Linked DNA regions of Tribolium castaneum. The protein of the gene in region 1 interacts with the protein of each later gene in a pairwise test. Links are inferred from orthologs where the notes say so. Each region holds a gene or a part of one and is shown on either strand. Other genes may lie near its edges.

Region 1 (7,587 bases):
TGAAGTTTTCGCTTTTTTCGGACAAACAGTTCAGGTATCGGACGAAAATTTATGGGTCTTAGCAACCGTTAGAACCGACCTAATGTCTTTATTTGGATGCCACAACATAATTATCGGCCTGTGTTTTCTACGAGGAGAAAAATTAATACGGGATTTAGGCTCGAAGATGAAATTCTATGGCGAGATGTAAATCACCACCGGACAAAAACCATTGATTAATGGCTTAATTACTAGACGAAAATATTAAAATAGTTGGCGCAGTTGCCACTGTGAGCACTCTCAACTTGTTATTCATGACCGGAGAGCTAAGTTATGGCCAGATTTGTGTGTTTGCTGTGTAGATTTGATAATTGCAGTTCATGAGAGACCACCGTGACCTCAATGAGTACTATCTTCATTCAACTCTTCAGCATTATGCCATAAAGGCGGAGTAATAGCTTTGTTATGATACCTGCTCCATTACGGACAGTAATTTTATTATTCCACTTCGATTCGCAGCTTCTGGCTTTGTCGGAATTACACGGATACGGTATTTGACACGAGTTTAGATAAACTCGAGGGATTCACCCACGAAATTCCGGCCCACGCGCTTTCGTTAACATATTCGATGAGTTTTTATTACTTAATTTATTAACCCAGAGATCCATCGACAGATAAACGACCACGAATTAGCGAAACGAAACTCGAACTCACACAAAAAATTACAACAAACAACTAAACACTGCTAAACATATTTCGAAAGAAACCGGCGCTCCTTTATTATTTACGATGTTTCCACTTAAGTTCGTCAAAGAAAAATACATTCAACAAACACAACAAAAAATTAAGTTGATGTACAGTCACCCAAAATGAAAATGACGCGTCCAAAACGCGTAACCTATCATCCTTTGAAATGATTGAGGATTTTTTTGGAAATTGTTGGTTGGGACAAATGACAAATAAACCAATTATTTTAAAATTAGTAGCGACGTGTCAACACCCAAAAAATAATGTTGTTTGCAAATTCATTTGAAGATTAATTGAAGATTAATTAAAATCTTCCACAATTATTTTTATTCTTCACAATTCTTACGGAATAATGTTTTTGCATCAAAATGATAAATGAATTGAATTTCAGATTTTGTGTTTTATTGGCTCGGTTTATTTTGGAAGTACCTACCTAAATAAATAAAAAACCGTATTTAAAGGCTTTAAAAAAGTAAAAAATAACTCCTTTTGCGACCGAATTTTGTCATCTTTCAGTCTACTCTTGACGAAATCTTACCCAAAAACAAACAACTTGGAGAGAAAGTTTCAATTTATTTTTGTAATTTTTAAGCCCATTTTGTCAAAATGCCACCAATTTAGATTTATTTTCTGGATCTTAGCGTTTTTTGATCAAATCTGATTAAAAAATGTACGGTAGGCGTGTTTTTTATGGACGCGTCTTTTTCATTTCGGGTGACTGTACACTTTTATATCAACTACTGCCAGTTGTTTCTGGACTATAATTCCAGTAGTAGGTGTAAGCTTGGTTTAGTTAAAATAAAATTTACATTTTTTACACGATTTAATGAATTGTTTTAGAGTTTTCAAAGCAAAAATTGCCAGCTACCAACTTCTTCTACGTTTCTAATAATAATTAATGAGAAAAACAAATAAGCTGCGTCCATTAATTAAAAATGAATCACAATGTCTAAGAAGACATACTTTCAACTTGTCTCCTAAAGCGATATACAGTTTCGTATTAACATACGAAATTTATGTAGTAACCACACGCAATATGCAATTTTAGTTTCATTTTTGCTAAAAATGAATAACAACTTTCCATAAATCAGCGTTTATTTATATCAATATATATCCATATAAATATAATGATCAATAAACTAAAAATAGAGAAATGGCAACCATAAATACAAACACTTCATGCATAACAATCTAATTTTCCTCAAACACCCACTAAGACGACGCTTTAAAATTAGCCCTTTTTGACTGCCGTTTCCGGAAACGGCAAAAATCGATGCGGTTTCATGTGGAGGCAAGAAGGCGCGTTCGTCCGAAAGCAACCCCCGTCGGGTGCATTTTCGTCCACCTATGAATCATTCTCACTTGGCCGTTTATCAGTTTCAGATCGGTGCCGATTTCGTCACAGTCGAACGAGAAACAGTGAAACATCCCCGAATGAGACACCTGACCTACGCTAATACCTTGGTGGAAGAAACAAGCAAATGTTTTTGGTGCGGTCCGTAGCGAGCAAAATACAAAAGGGGGTGTAACTGACTGGGCCACGGTAATACGTCATCGCTCATCCGGACTGAGTCCGGCACAATTCGGGACAAGTCCGGGACTCCGGCGCGGTAGACGAAGGAATTATCATGTGAATGAGGAAATATACAGAGTGGAACGCTCTCAAAGTCTTATACGAAAAATAAGGAAGCGCTCATATTGAATGGCACTTTTTGAACAGGCGAGGGTCGGCCCCTTGTACCTGACGGACCCCTCTGGTTAAATTATGAAAGTGGATGAGGGCGCCATCTGAGTGACGTGCCCAACACTATGGGATCATGTTACAGTTGCCAATTTTTTTTAGTCAGGAAAAATTTGAAAAATTTTGGTACTTTTCCCATTTCCGTCCTGTTATGTTAATAAAATGAAATAAAATAAAAGAACGTTGTAGCTTTATGCAAATTTTGCGAATTTATGATGTTGTTATAGAAGATTGAACTTTGACATACGAGTTTCTCTAATAAATAAAATCCGTCGGAATCATCTCCGAACACGCTTTTAATCGTCCTCCCTGTATAGCGCGATAACATAAGTGTAGTAGATCGTGCGTTGGCGGCAATAGCGCTAATAAATCAAACTATAAATAAAAACAATTTAAGCAATCGGCGGCCCGTGAAAACCACAGCCGCTTCTTCAATCAATAATTCTTCAGCGACGTTGTAGTAATTTCGAAAAGATATACCTTTGAACATTAGAGTTCGCCATCAACTCATTACTCTCCAGCGTATGAATAGAGCGTCTCGCAATAACGACCGAACGAAATTTTTTGTCGGCTCGTTAGCGATGTCCTCCCGAAATATGAAACGACCTTAACCAAATTATATTCCATTGACCCAAGACTTGAGAATTACGAACGCCGAACTCAAAACACGGATTATTTTGGTCAAAGCGGACGATTTTTTTACGGGAATATAGGACGTGCTCATTTCAAAGGCGTCTAGACGGCCAAATAGGCGAACAGCTGATCGTCCCTCGTGCTCTGACAAGGACCCGATTTGTTCGACGAGGACGAGAACAGAGAAATTCGACTGAGGGACAGAGATGTGGCAATTCAACCCTGATTTTACACGCACTTGACTTCGCTGCAGGTTCAACATTTACATAACTTTGAGGTGCGGACATCGCGCGCACGGGCCAAAGGGCAACAATTAGCACAAAAAATTTTGTTTATTCAAATTTATTTTATTTTGCAATAGATAATTAAGTAGTTCCAGCGGCAATAAATAAGGCACAAATTATGAATGACAAATCATTGAAAAAATAAACAAAATTTATGGTGTTGTACGTCGGCAACTTTAACATTCCCAAATAAATTACTAATTTAACGTACTTTACTATCGACTGAAATTATATAAAATTTTAATTTTAGAAAATAGAGGAAGCAGACGACGAAGATGAATCACAAATAATAAAATAAAACGGTTCGTCATATTGTGCCAAGAAATTTATTTTTGAATCAAAGAATACCCACCAGAAATTTAGGAAAAATAGATACAGATAAATAATTTATTTAATCATTAATATAAATCATTTTCCGGACGACTAGAAAGATATTCAGTTAAAAAATCGTTTACAAACTTACTAAAAATCTGTTTTTCGGCAAAACTATTTAGAACATTTATTATGTAAAAAGTTCGTTTCTTAATTAATTATTATTAACTATTATTTTTTTAATGGAGATATAAATAAAAAAAGTCGTAACTAAACATACTGTCTTTAAATATAACTAGTTAATAAAATCGTAACTTGAACCGTGGTGGTCCAAAAAGTAGGTACAATAAAAACCCGGAAACAAACAGTTTGCTCGAAATTTTTAAAAAAATCTCCCGCCAAAAAAATTTATTCTTGACTTTTGATTCGCACTATGTGTTTAGAAACGACTATTATTTTCACGTTTGGTATTTTGAAATGACATTTTTTTAGTGTCACAGCAATGAATGAAACATTTTTGGTTTGTGCTTTTGAAATGTTACAGTGTGGTGCACGTTTGAACGGCGTGCGATTCGGCCGGAGTTAGCGCGTTTCCTGCAAATAGCGTCCGCAGCAGGAGTCCGTAGGCTTAGACCTATCACCAACCTGCAATGGCCATCCAGGGGTAAAACGTGTGGTTGGTCTGCTGGTGTATCTGCGTGCCAACGGGCTGCGAAGAGGTCGAGTTGATACTGCAGGGGTTATTCCACGAGAGCGAGTTGCCCGTCCGTCCTGCGGCCGCCCCCGGACTCGAGGCCGGATCTCCGCCGACGAGCCCGACCGACCCGTAGCCAACCCTGGAGTCCGGCGTGCATGCCGCCGGCCTGACCGGCCCCGTCAAACTGTTCGTGAGATTAGCGCCACCGCCAGAAGTCGCACTTTGCCAAACGTCCTTGACCGCGGCCGCCGCCACCACCGAGGCGTATCCGTTCTGGTCGGCGTTGCCTTTGGAGCAGTCCGGCTTCGAGTTGGAGGAGTAGTTGGAGTTCTGCTGGCCCTCGGAGGAGTAGAGCTTGCAGGCGGCCGCCACCGAGGCGTCGTACGGCGAGTCCTGCGGGGGCCGCGCCTGCAGGTGGTGGTGGTGGTGCTGGCTGGAGGCGTACGGGGACATGCCGAGCGACAGCGGGAAGGAGCGGTAGGCCGCCGCCGCCGCCGCCGACTGCTCGTGGTGGTGGCCCGCCACCGACCCGCTCTGGTGGTGGTGGCTGCCGTAGAAGCCGCTCTGCTCGAAGTAAGAGTTCATGCTGGGGGCGGCACAAGTCACTCGACACCGGAACCGGACATGACAGTCACACGATTATTATTATTGTTATTAGCGAGAGTGATAAGGTGATAAGAGCTCGCACGAGCACACCACACAGCAGCTCGCTCCGGAATGCACACGTTGGCTACTTTGCTCGCGGATGGGAACCCACTGGAGCTCCGGAGTCTGCTCCGGCCCACACATCCCGGCCCATCGCTCCCCTCTCCCCCCACTCCGGACGAGCACGCGGCTCATTATTGCAGCTACCTGTATTGTCGGCCGATCGGACACGGTCGCACCTAATTAGCGCCTGACCGGCTTCTCCAAAGGCTAGGTTTCCTCCAGAAGGGTCGCGAAGGCCGTAATAACCCCTAGAGCACGTGCTTCTACACGAAGACGCTCTAATGGAAGGGATCATACATGAACCAATAGCAATTGAATTCGTCACAGCCTTCAAGCATTGCGCAAGTGGCCCCCAACGAGACGAAGAGGGGAGGCGCGTGGCGCCAGCTCTCGGACAATTGCTCAACCTTTCAAAACGACACTCTTGCCGAAACGAGCAACATCAATTGCCAATAAAAGATAAAACGACCATCACACCACCAATATAAACAAAATCATCGAAAAGTAAACGCTACATTTAAAATACTCTGATTCCGCTGCCAAACCCTCAATATATTCACCGTTAAAGTACAAAAAGGAAAGCTTATTTTATTTATTATTTTTTTGCATTCTGCATCACAATTTTAATGTCTATTTGGTTTGTTAAAACAATTAAATTCACAATTTCTAAAAACAGTACGTAATTTTATATTAATATTCAACTAAAACAGTAAGATTTATTGACGACGGGTAGATAAGATCTTGTTCTGTAACTTTTCATCGCACTTGATTTTTTAGGCAACAAATCAGACTCCAACCGCTAAACAAGTTAAAATCAAAGAAACACTCCATTTTTTTAAATGTTTTTAGGCTGTATAAAGAGCGGTATGCATTCAGCCCTTTGTTACTGCTTCAGGTACCTATTAAAACATTCTCGCTTTTTTGACTTCATCTTACACTGTACCATGTCGGTATAAAAACCAAAGCTAAAGTTAATTGTTGCTCATTTTCGAGTAAGGGTTTTAATATACTACCTTAATGTACCTACTTTTCTGTGTTCCCAAAATACAATAAACTTAAATTGCATTTGAATGAATGTGCTTTTGTAAATTTTACTGCCCGAAAAACATTCAAACTAATAAAACTAAATTATTTTGGACCGTTTTTTCTTCGTGCACATACCTAATCCAAATCAAATCTCATCGAAAAATACTCGTACCCCATTCCAAACGGATTAATTAGTTCAAAAAAATTATAGAAGTGTCTCTACTGGAATTATTCTAACTACAAAAATCTCCCAACAATAGTAGATCTAGGATCTAGGTATGTATAAATATTTTCTTCAAACAAATAAAAACAAATAATAATGTAATAAATTTCTATTCAGTAAACAGTAAAATTATTAACAACCAATAATAATTTAATGTTATCCTGATAATAGGTAGTATATACTACAATGAGTCGTCAATAACAAAATAGGAAAAAGCCCGTCCGGGTGTTTAAATAAATCCCTTTTGCTCTTATCCTCTTGTCGTTACTGAATGGTTGAGGTTCCGAGGGCGGGGACGGAAAAAGGCCAGATTATTACAGTTTACACAAACCAGTAGTAAAAATTTTACGGCATTGGCACGCTCCTGGCACTTTATGGAGTGGCGGTGTCATAATTTTGCCATGGTCGTAGGTGACATTTACGATCACTCAAATCGTAATAAAATCAACTTTTATTGCTGTCTTACCTCCTTGCATATTGAAAGTGCCGAACTTGACACTTTCCAAACACTTCTCGACATAAGGATGAATTTGGCCGAACGAAAGTTTATTGTATTTTTACGAGCACATAATAGCTACTATAATAGCCGGTAGGTTTGTTCTACGTGTTTTATACCAAAGATAAGTCATTCCTGAGTGATAATTTTATAATTTGATACTTTTTCCTGCTTAAGTACTAATTTTATGTTGCAATAAAACCAATCTACATAACATTAGAACGCCATAAACAATTATAATTAATTTTATGTTTCGGCATGGTTCTCATTCCGAGATTTATTTATTTTTAAGTGACTATACAACACAGATTCTTCAAATAAACGATCAGCGGACGGCTTCCGGAATTATTACGATTATTCGCCAAGATATAGGTAAGGAGAAACATGTTTTGTTTACGCAAGTATACAGATAAAATAGATAAAATATTGATGTAAAACACGTCCCACAGAATTACATTGCTAACTTAATCAACTATAAACCTTGTGAATAATAATGGAGCCATTACATAAACAGTTATGTGGATGGTTTTCAAAAACGAAATTTATTTCAACGCACACGTGCCGCTGAAATATTTATTTCAAATGCCAAGACTTTTTAATAGAGAAAACGGAGCTTTCAAGCTTTGTCATTGTGTGCAAAATGGCGGCCACGACGTCTTTCACTGACAAAGTCTATTTACCTAGCGAAAAATTTATTACCACCGCAAATCGTTAAAGTCCTTAGACAGTTCACACTTCAGA
Region 2 (6,787 bases), on another chromosome or scaffold:
TGCATTTTTAATATCTGGCTTTAAATTACTCATATCTAAAACATTAAAGTATTTCTGATGAAAGTTTTATTATTTATTATTATTCATTCGTTACTTTCTTTATCGTTGCCTTTATTTTTCTTAACGTTATTAACTATATGATTTATAGTTCTTTTAATAAACAAAAAATTGCATCAAACATAATAATGAGTGTAGATAATTTTTAATGAAAAAGAAAAGAAACAACGTTTTAAAAATGTAACATCTTTATTTTTTCTATTTGTTAACCATGCCAGGAGTTATGAGAAATGATTGGATCCAAAGACACAGAGAAGCCATATAAAAAAACTTGTAGATTTAACTAAAATAAACAGTTTAGGTAAAAAAAAGACTAAAGTACATACTTTTGCCGGACGCTTTATATTGTACAGAGTTAATCTGTTAAAAGTAGGTATATTTTTATGATATCTCAAAAACAATAATTATACACAATTTTGTAAATAATTAACTAAGTAAAATTAAAACTTCAAATAAGTAGGTAGTAGGTAACAATTTTATTATAAATTTTTACTAAAAACATCATTAAACATCGTTGTTTTAAAATAGCACTTAAAATCATGAAATCGTTCATATTTTTTTTATTGTTAGATATTAGTATTTTTTATAAATTAATTTTAGTTATAACGAAAGGTAGAAACAAATTCAAATGCTGATTTCGGTTCGACTAGGTATAACAGTTTTCGCTAAAATACTTGAGAAAAAAAGACAAAAAAATAGAATTTTAATAACTAATGATAACACTTACAATCAATCAAGTCACATTTCAAATATTCCGCAGCAGAATAAAAGTTTTTGTAAGGTAAATAAAATAAAATAAAATGAACTCAACAATTTATATTCTTAAATCACAAAATTGTGGAAAAATCCTTGCAAATCTTAAATACCGTCTTCTACCGTCTGTTAAGTAATAAGTAAGTACGAGTATTAAAGACATAACTTCTAAAAGGAATGCAGTGGAAACTGACTTGCTTTCGCGAATTATTCGAAAACTTTAAATTCGAGTACTTTAAACACTAAAATAAAATTACAGCATATTTGCTCAAGATTTCAAGTTTTTTATTATTTTTACTTCAGAAATGTCAATTTATAAACAGGGGGAGTTTTATCATACAAAAATAATGGGAACAACATTTTTAACAAATTTGGTTATTCGCATTTTTTCGTTGTAACTCGCTGTAAATTTTTAGAATAGAATTAAAACATCAAACTGAAGCGCATTTGAATTTCGAGCACGTATATTATGTAAAGAGTTATTTTTACGTAAGTCGAAAAAATAATCGACTTTTACAACTTTTCAAATAATATCGAATTTAAAGAAAATACCAAAAAGAATTTTTCTATGTTTCAATGGATTTAAGACTATCAACAAAAAATTCTAGACGAAAAAGACACTGAAAAAGCTCTTAAATAAATTTTCTAAAGGATGATCATTGTTTTTTCTTAGTTTTTGTTTAATTTTGTTGTCAATTAGTATTCTTTGTTAAAAATTCTTAAACTGAAACCTTTTTAAATAAAACTGTAAAATAAAAAATCAAAAATCCCTACCTGACATGCAGCCCAGCTCCGTGGAATTGCTGTTGTGATTGTTGTTGCTCAAGCTGGTGTTGTTATTACTTTCGGTGGAGGGCAAATGTGGCGTTGTTGGTATGGACGTCTTCTCCATGTGGTCGTGGTCCTCCTTACAGTACAAATTTCCACCGTCTCTTAACGCGAACTCATCTCCAGGTACTAACGGTCGTGAACAAGCACAACACTTGAAGCACTTTATGTGATAAATCTTGCTTTTTGCCCGCATCACAAAATCATCTTTGCTAAACGACGACCCGCACCTGTCGCACTTCGCCCCAAACAACCTGGAAATGCGAGAAAAGAAAATTGACCCACTGTGTGTGGTTGGCAAGAACTCTGTCAGGACGTGTGTAATTTGAGATTCGGTTTGTTTAAGAGGGAAAAGTCACATATGGGCCACCGGAGTGCCAAAATCACCGCTGATTTGACTTTGATAAGCAGCAGCTGCGGTGGGTGGATAAACAACGACTTTGGAGGTCTTGTTGGTGGCAAAAAGGAAAGCAATGAAGGGAAAATTGTTGTGTTGTGTTTAGTTTAATTTTACAAACCTCACATAGTCTCGCTTGCAGTAGGTTTTACCATCTCGCACGAAGCATGTGCAGGATTCGTCAAGGAACTGTCGACACTCCTGGCATTTTAGACAAGCTGCGTGCCATTCCAGGTCAGGAGCTACCCGGAGGATGTATTGGTCGTGGATCTGGCCACCGCACCCCACGCAGTGGCTCAGCCGGCGGGGCTTTTCTGGAAATCAAATAAACTACTTAAAAAAATTTGCGAAAGCCTATTTTTAAAATCAAAAATCACTCACTGTTAACTACTTTAATAAAAAAGTATCCCCTCAAAAGTCCTTCAATATTTTGAAACCATTATTATCTTGTTTCAAAAAGGATATACAGCAACATCCTCCTCACAACGGACATTTCTGTAGAATCGTAACAAAAGCCTCGGAAAATAATGTAAAAAAATTCTCTCTACAACGGACAATTTAAGATTCCACACCGGTGTCCGTTGTTGAGAGGTTTTACTGTATTAATACTATATTAATAATTTTGATGATATTTTAATATAAACAACCAGTTATATTCATACAAATAAAAAATCAATGAGGACTATCATCATACATTTTAATAATGTACCTATCATTATTTATAATAATTTTATTAATACAGCACGTTCAAAAAGTCTTTGGATCAACCTTGCTGTGAAATTTTAGACGTATGTTGATTTCTTACGATTATTACATACGAAAATATTGGCGTTGGAGAAAATCGCAACAGAATAAAACGATAATCTGTCAAAGACAATAAAAATCTGTCAATCTAAATTCCACAGCAAGAGTTGATTTAACGACTTTTTGAACGCACGGTATTACAATTATTCAAATTTAAAAATGGAACAAATACATTGTTTTTGTTCTAAACGTCAAGATTTACTATATTTTTCGGATGTTTCCGAAATTGTCAAAAATGATTATAATTCGTAATTGTTGTGCGATGAAAAAGATGAAACTGGTTTTGGTTTGTAATTAATTTCCAATTTTGTCACAAAAAAAGTTTACGGTCAAAAAAAATTTGTTTGATAATGGGCAATTAATAAACTCAACTATTAAAGGCACTCACTCGCTATCGCTCGTTCGTGCTTTAAACAGTTTAGTTTATTGATCGCCTTCATTAATAAACTGGTTTATTAAATAACTGTTTCAAGTTGTATGGAAGGTGAATTATTGATATTAAAAAGCAGATTATCTACTATAGTTTTATTTTTTACCTAATACAGTTAACTTAAGAGTTTAAGTAACATTCAGAGCAAACCCCGTTTCGATTTATTACAACTAAGCAACAGATAATTTGCGGAAAACCTAGTGGAATAAAGAAGAAGAAGATGAAGAAGAATATAATATAATATAATATAATATAAGAATAAGAAGGCAAATTTTTAAAACAACTCACAAACGAATGGTGGATGTTTAAGTTTAATTAACGCTTTTCCTCTTTTGATAAATTCGAAAAAAACAGAGTATAACAACTGATGGCAAACATTTTTTACTCTTTCTAGAGGGTTCAAATAAAATTCTTATTGCTTCAGAGTAACTGATACCAAAAATTCCTCCAAATTTTGGTTTGAGGTGGCCTATACCAAAAATAAGCAAATGACTGTGCCAGAAGTAATAAATCGCCGGCAAAGCTTCGGCGCCAGTTTTATCAATCTGAATAATTTGGGGGAGGTTTGGTGGTATTAATTCGTGTGATCAGGGGTGGTAGAGCAGGTAAACAATGGAGCCCTATAAAGTGTCTGCAAACAGAGATGAGTGTAGCCGTTTGGGCGCTAATTGCCCAGGTAAAGTCAGTGGCGGTGTCAGAAAAGCTGGCATCCGGTAGCAAGTCGGCGAGACGGTGCCTATTAACACCCCAGTGCGAACTGCGGGGTGTCCAGACAGCCCCCTGACCACCGACGAGTTACAGGTGGGCTTGTGAAAAACACTTTTTTTTTTTCATTCGCAAACCTTGACCCATTCACGATCCCGTCGTTCGTCGAACTTTCAAGCCATCATCATCATCATCATCAGCAGGCGAAAGGCTCACCCCGAATAAATCAAATTCCCAAGTGCTGGCGTTAGTTTACGTATGATGGATGTGAGGCAGGCTAGCAGGAATTTCACATAGAGAGCAAGTTGCGTGTTTATGTGTTCATGTGATGCATTTAACGCGTTGACAGCAACACTAACAGAAATAAACATTCATACAAGCAGAGTTAATGCATCGTCGCTTTTCCACTCCGCCAGTAAATATTGATGGAAACACGTGTTGCCGCCACTAATATTTAGATGACTTCTGTTAACGCGGATCTTACATTAGGACCAACAGCGATTGATCTAGCGCGAAAATTTATTTAGGACCAAGGAATTTCTCAAAGCACAAAGCTAATGCCATTTCCGGTGGAACGGAAGCCAAGATTCAATAAATTGTGGACAGGACGTTTGCTGCTCATTTTGCCAAATCAGAGAAACACACAACTATTGCTGCAATTTTGCAATTTTCTGGATTTTTTATTTTTTTATCATTTGCTTCAATTGAGATTTTGTTACAAGTGTGGCTTTTAATTCACACAAGAAAAAATATAAAAAAATAACTGGGTAACTGGATTTTTATTTTAGTTTTATCATATTTTAAGTAAATCTAGAGATTACTTTGGAGGTATTATTATGTGTACATACCATAATGCTTAATTAATACGACTATTAAGCGCGCAATTACATTGCGAACACGCACTTCTTTCTATTAATAAAGATTTTAAGATCTATCTAATTATCATAAAAATCTTAGAAACGTGTTTGAAGGAATCTTCAAATACAGGGTGAACACAAAACACAAAAGACTGCATAATTTTCGAAATGCGCGCTTGATGCAGTAATTTGTCCGCCATACACTTCTTGATTACCTGGCACTAATTAAAACAATGCAGGAAGTTTTCTCGTAGCATTAGCCACAAATCGTTGAATTTAAATAGTAAAAAAGCCGCAAGTATGAGGGAAAAAGCAAAGTCATCCGCCACGCTAATAATACATAATAGAATAGATTCATTTACAAGAGTGAGTTTCGTAAGTCTCTTCTCCTTGAAGGAACGATATTTATAGTGAGTGGATGGTTTAATTACAGCTTACACCGGTTACGTTGCACATCTCCAACAAAAATAACTAATTAAATTGGCATATGAACAATTAACAGCGCCGCAATGTGTGCAAAATTAAAAAATCACATTCTGCTGATCACGTTCGAAAATGGGAAGGATTTAATTTGCAATTACTACCGCACAAAAACCGGTGCCGATTATGAATTTAACGGCTATTTCGCGAAAAACCAAAGGCAATTACACGCCATGAGTAAGCGCCACAAACTGAGAAATTTATATACAGGATGGACCAGCAAACAACACGTTTTTCAGTCAAAATGCACATTTTTGGCTTCAAGCAAGGAAATTAACATTTACTAACTTACTACAGCCTGTGTCTAAGCCAAATTTATTTGGAGAATAATGAATAAAATTAACGAAAAATAAGCAACCACTAATATGAATATAATTGTTGCATAAATTAAGATAAAGCTTAAATTGCTTCACTTAAGATGAACAATAAAGATGATCGTTAATTGTGAAACTGTTGTAGGTAAATAAATATTCTTTCCGAGTGCTTACCTCCATTCATAATTATAATTTTAATTGCTTTTGGTATGTGGCTATTAATAAAAATGACGTGTTTAATTCATTTACTTTTAGTCTAGGACTTCAGTTTTTGATATGAATTCAAAAACTTTATTTTTTCCAAGATTATGCAAAATAGCTAAGACCTAGGAGCCACCTAAATAAGAATTATAAGCATGAAATTTTACATAATAAAGCTCGTCTGAACTTTTGTATAATTTTATTAAAAGTTTTTTTTTTATTAATTTGTAACAAAAATATGATATTGTTTCAAAGCGGAATTGTAATTAATTACAAATAACCAATTTACAATTCGGTTGTGGTTACGTATTAAACTGGATTACCTTATTATTGTTTACACTTGACTTACAAAACTGGAACACTTGAATTATAATAATGTATTCCAAATGTAAATCGCTGCATTTTCATGCGAAAGCTCGGAGCTGTTTCCAGACGAAAAACCCTGTGAAAATGTCTATCTTAGACTAAATAATTACATAAAAATCGTTGTGGACCCGTTTGTTTTGTCAGTACTAAAACCCCCAATTTTGTGTTGGTCGGGTGTAGGTGAGGATTTACGGCAATCATTTGCAGGCATCGTAGGTGATGGGGTTATAAAGAAAAGAGTGCCGAACGGAGTGGAGTCGGCTCGTCGGGAATGTGGACAATTCGGAGATCATAAGTTAAGATAAAGTAAACAATTAGCGACATGTTGGAGTTTATTTATTCGAGCGCAGGTAGGAGACTATCATTTCAGGCCAACATGCAAATCAGAAAAGTCACTAATGAGCTGTTCGAGACTCCAAACGTCCAAAAGGAGAGCACAGGGATAATTAAATCCCGACTCGATTCTTTTCCACTTGTTACTCCTTCAAACCAGAAATCTGTTTAAACATTTGACACAATTTCTGTTTTTTCTAAATTCTTAAACTAACTCATGTTTAATTTATATTTTTTCATTTTTTTATTAGTATTAGTTTCA

Evidence for each region.
Region 2: the proteins of Ubx (region 1) and tup interact in a protein complementation assay, tested with the Drosophila melanogaster proteins (2 studies listed by BioGRID). The link is inferred for Tribolium castaneum from reciprocal best matches to the Drosophila melanogaster genes Ubx and tup.

What each region holds. Positions count from the first base shown.
Region 1 is NC_087397.1:7,098,709-7,106,295, forward strand, and holds the start of Ubx (ultrabithorax), read right to left. Parts: upstream 4,979-7,587; coding exon 4,342-4,978; intron 1-4,341. UniProt on the Drosophila melanogaster protein: Sequence-specific transcription factor which is part of a developmental regulatory system that provides cells with specific positional identities on the anterior-posterior axis. Binds the consensus region 5'-TTAAT[GT][GA]-3'.
Region 2 is NC_087396.1:24,299,505-24,306,291, forward strand, and holds part of tup (tailup), read right to left. Parts: intron 2,350-6,787; coding exon 2,157-2,349; intron 1,893-2,156; coding exon 1,585-1,892; intron 1-1,584.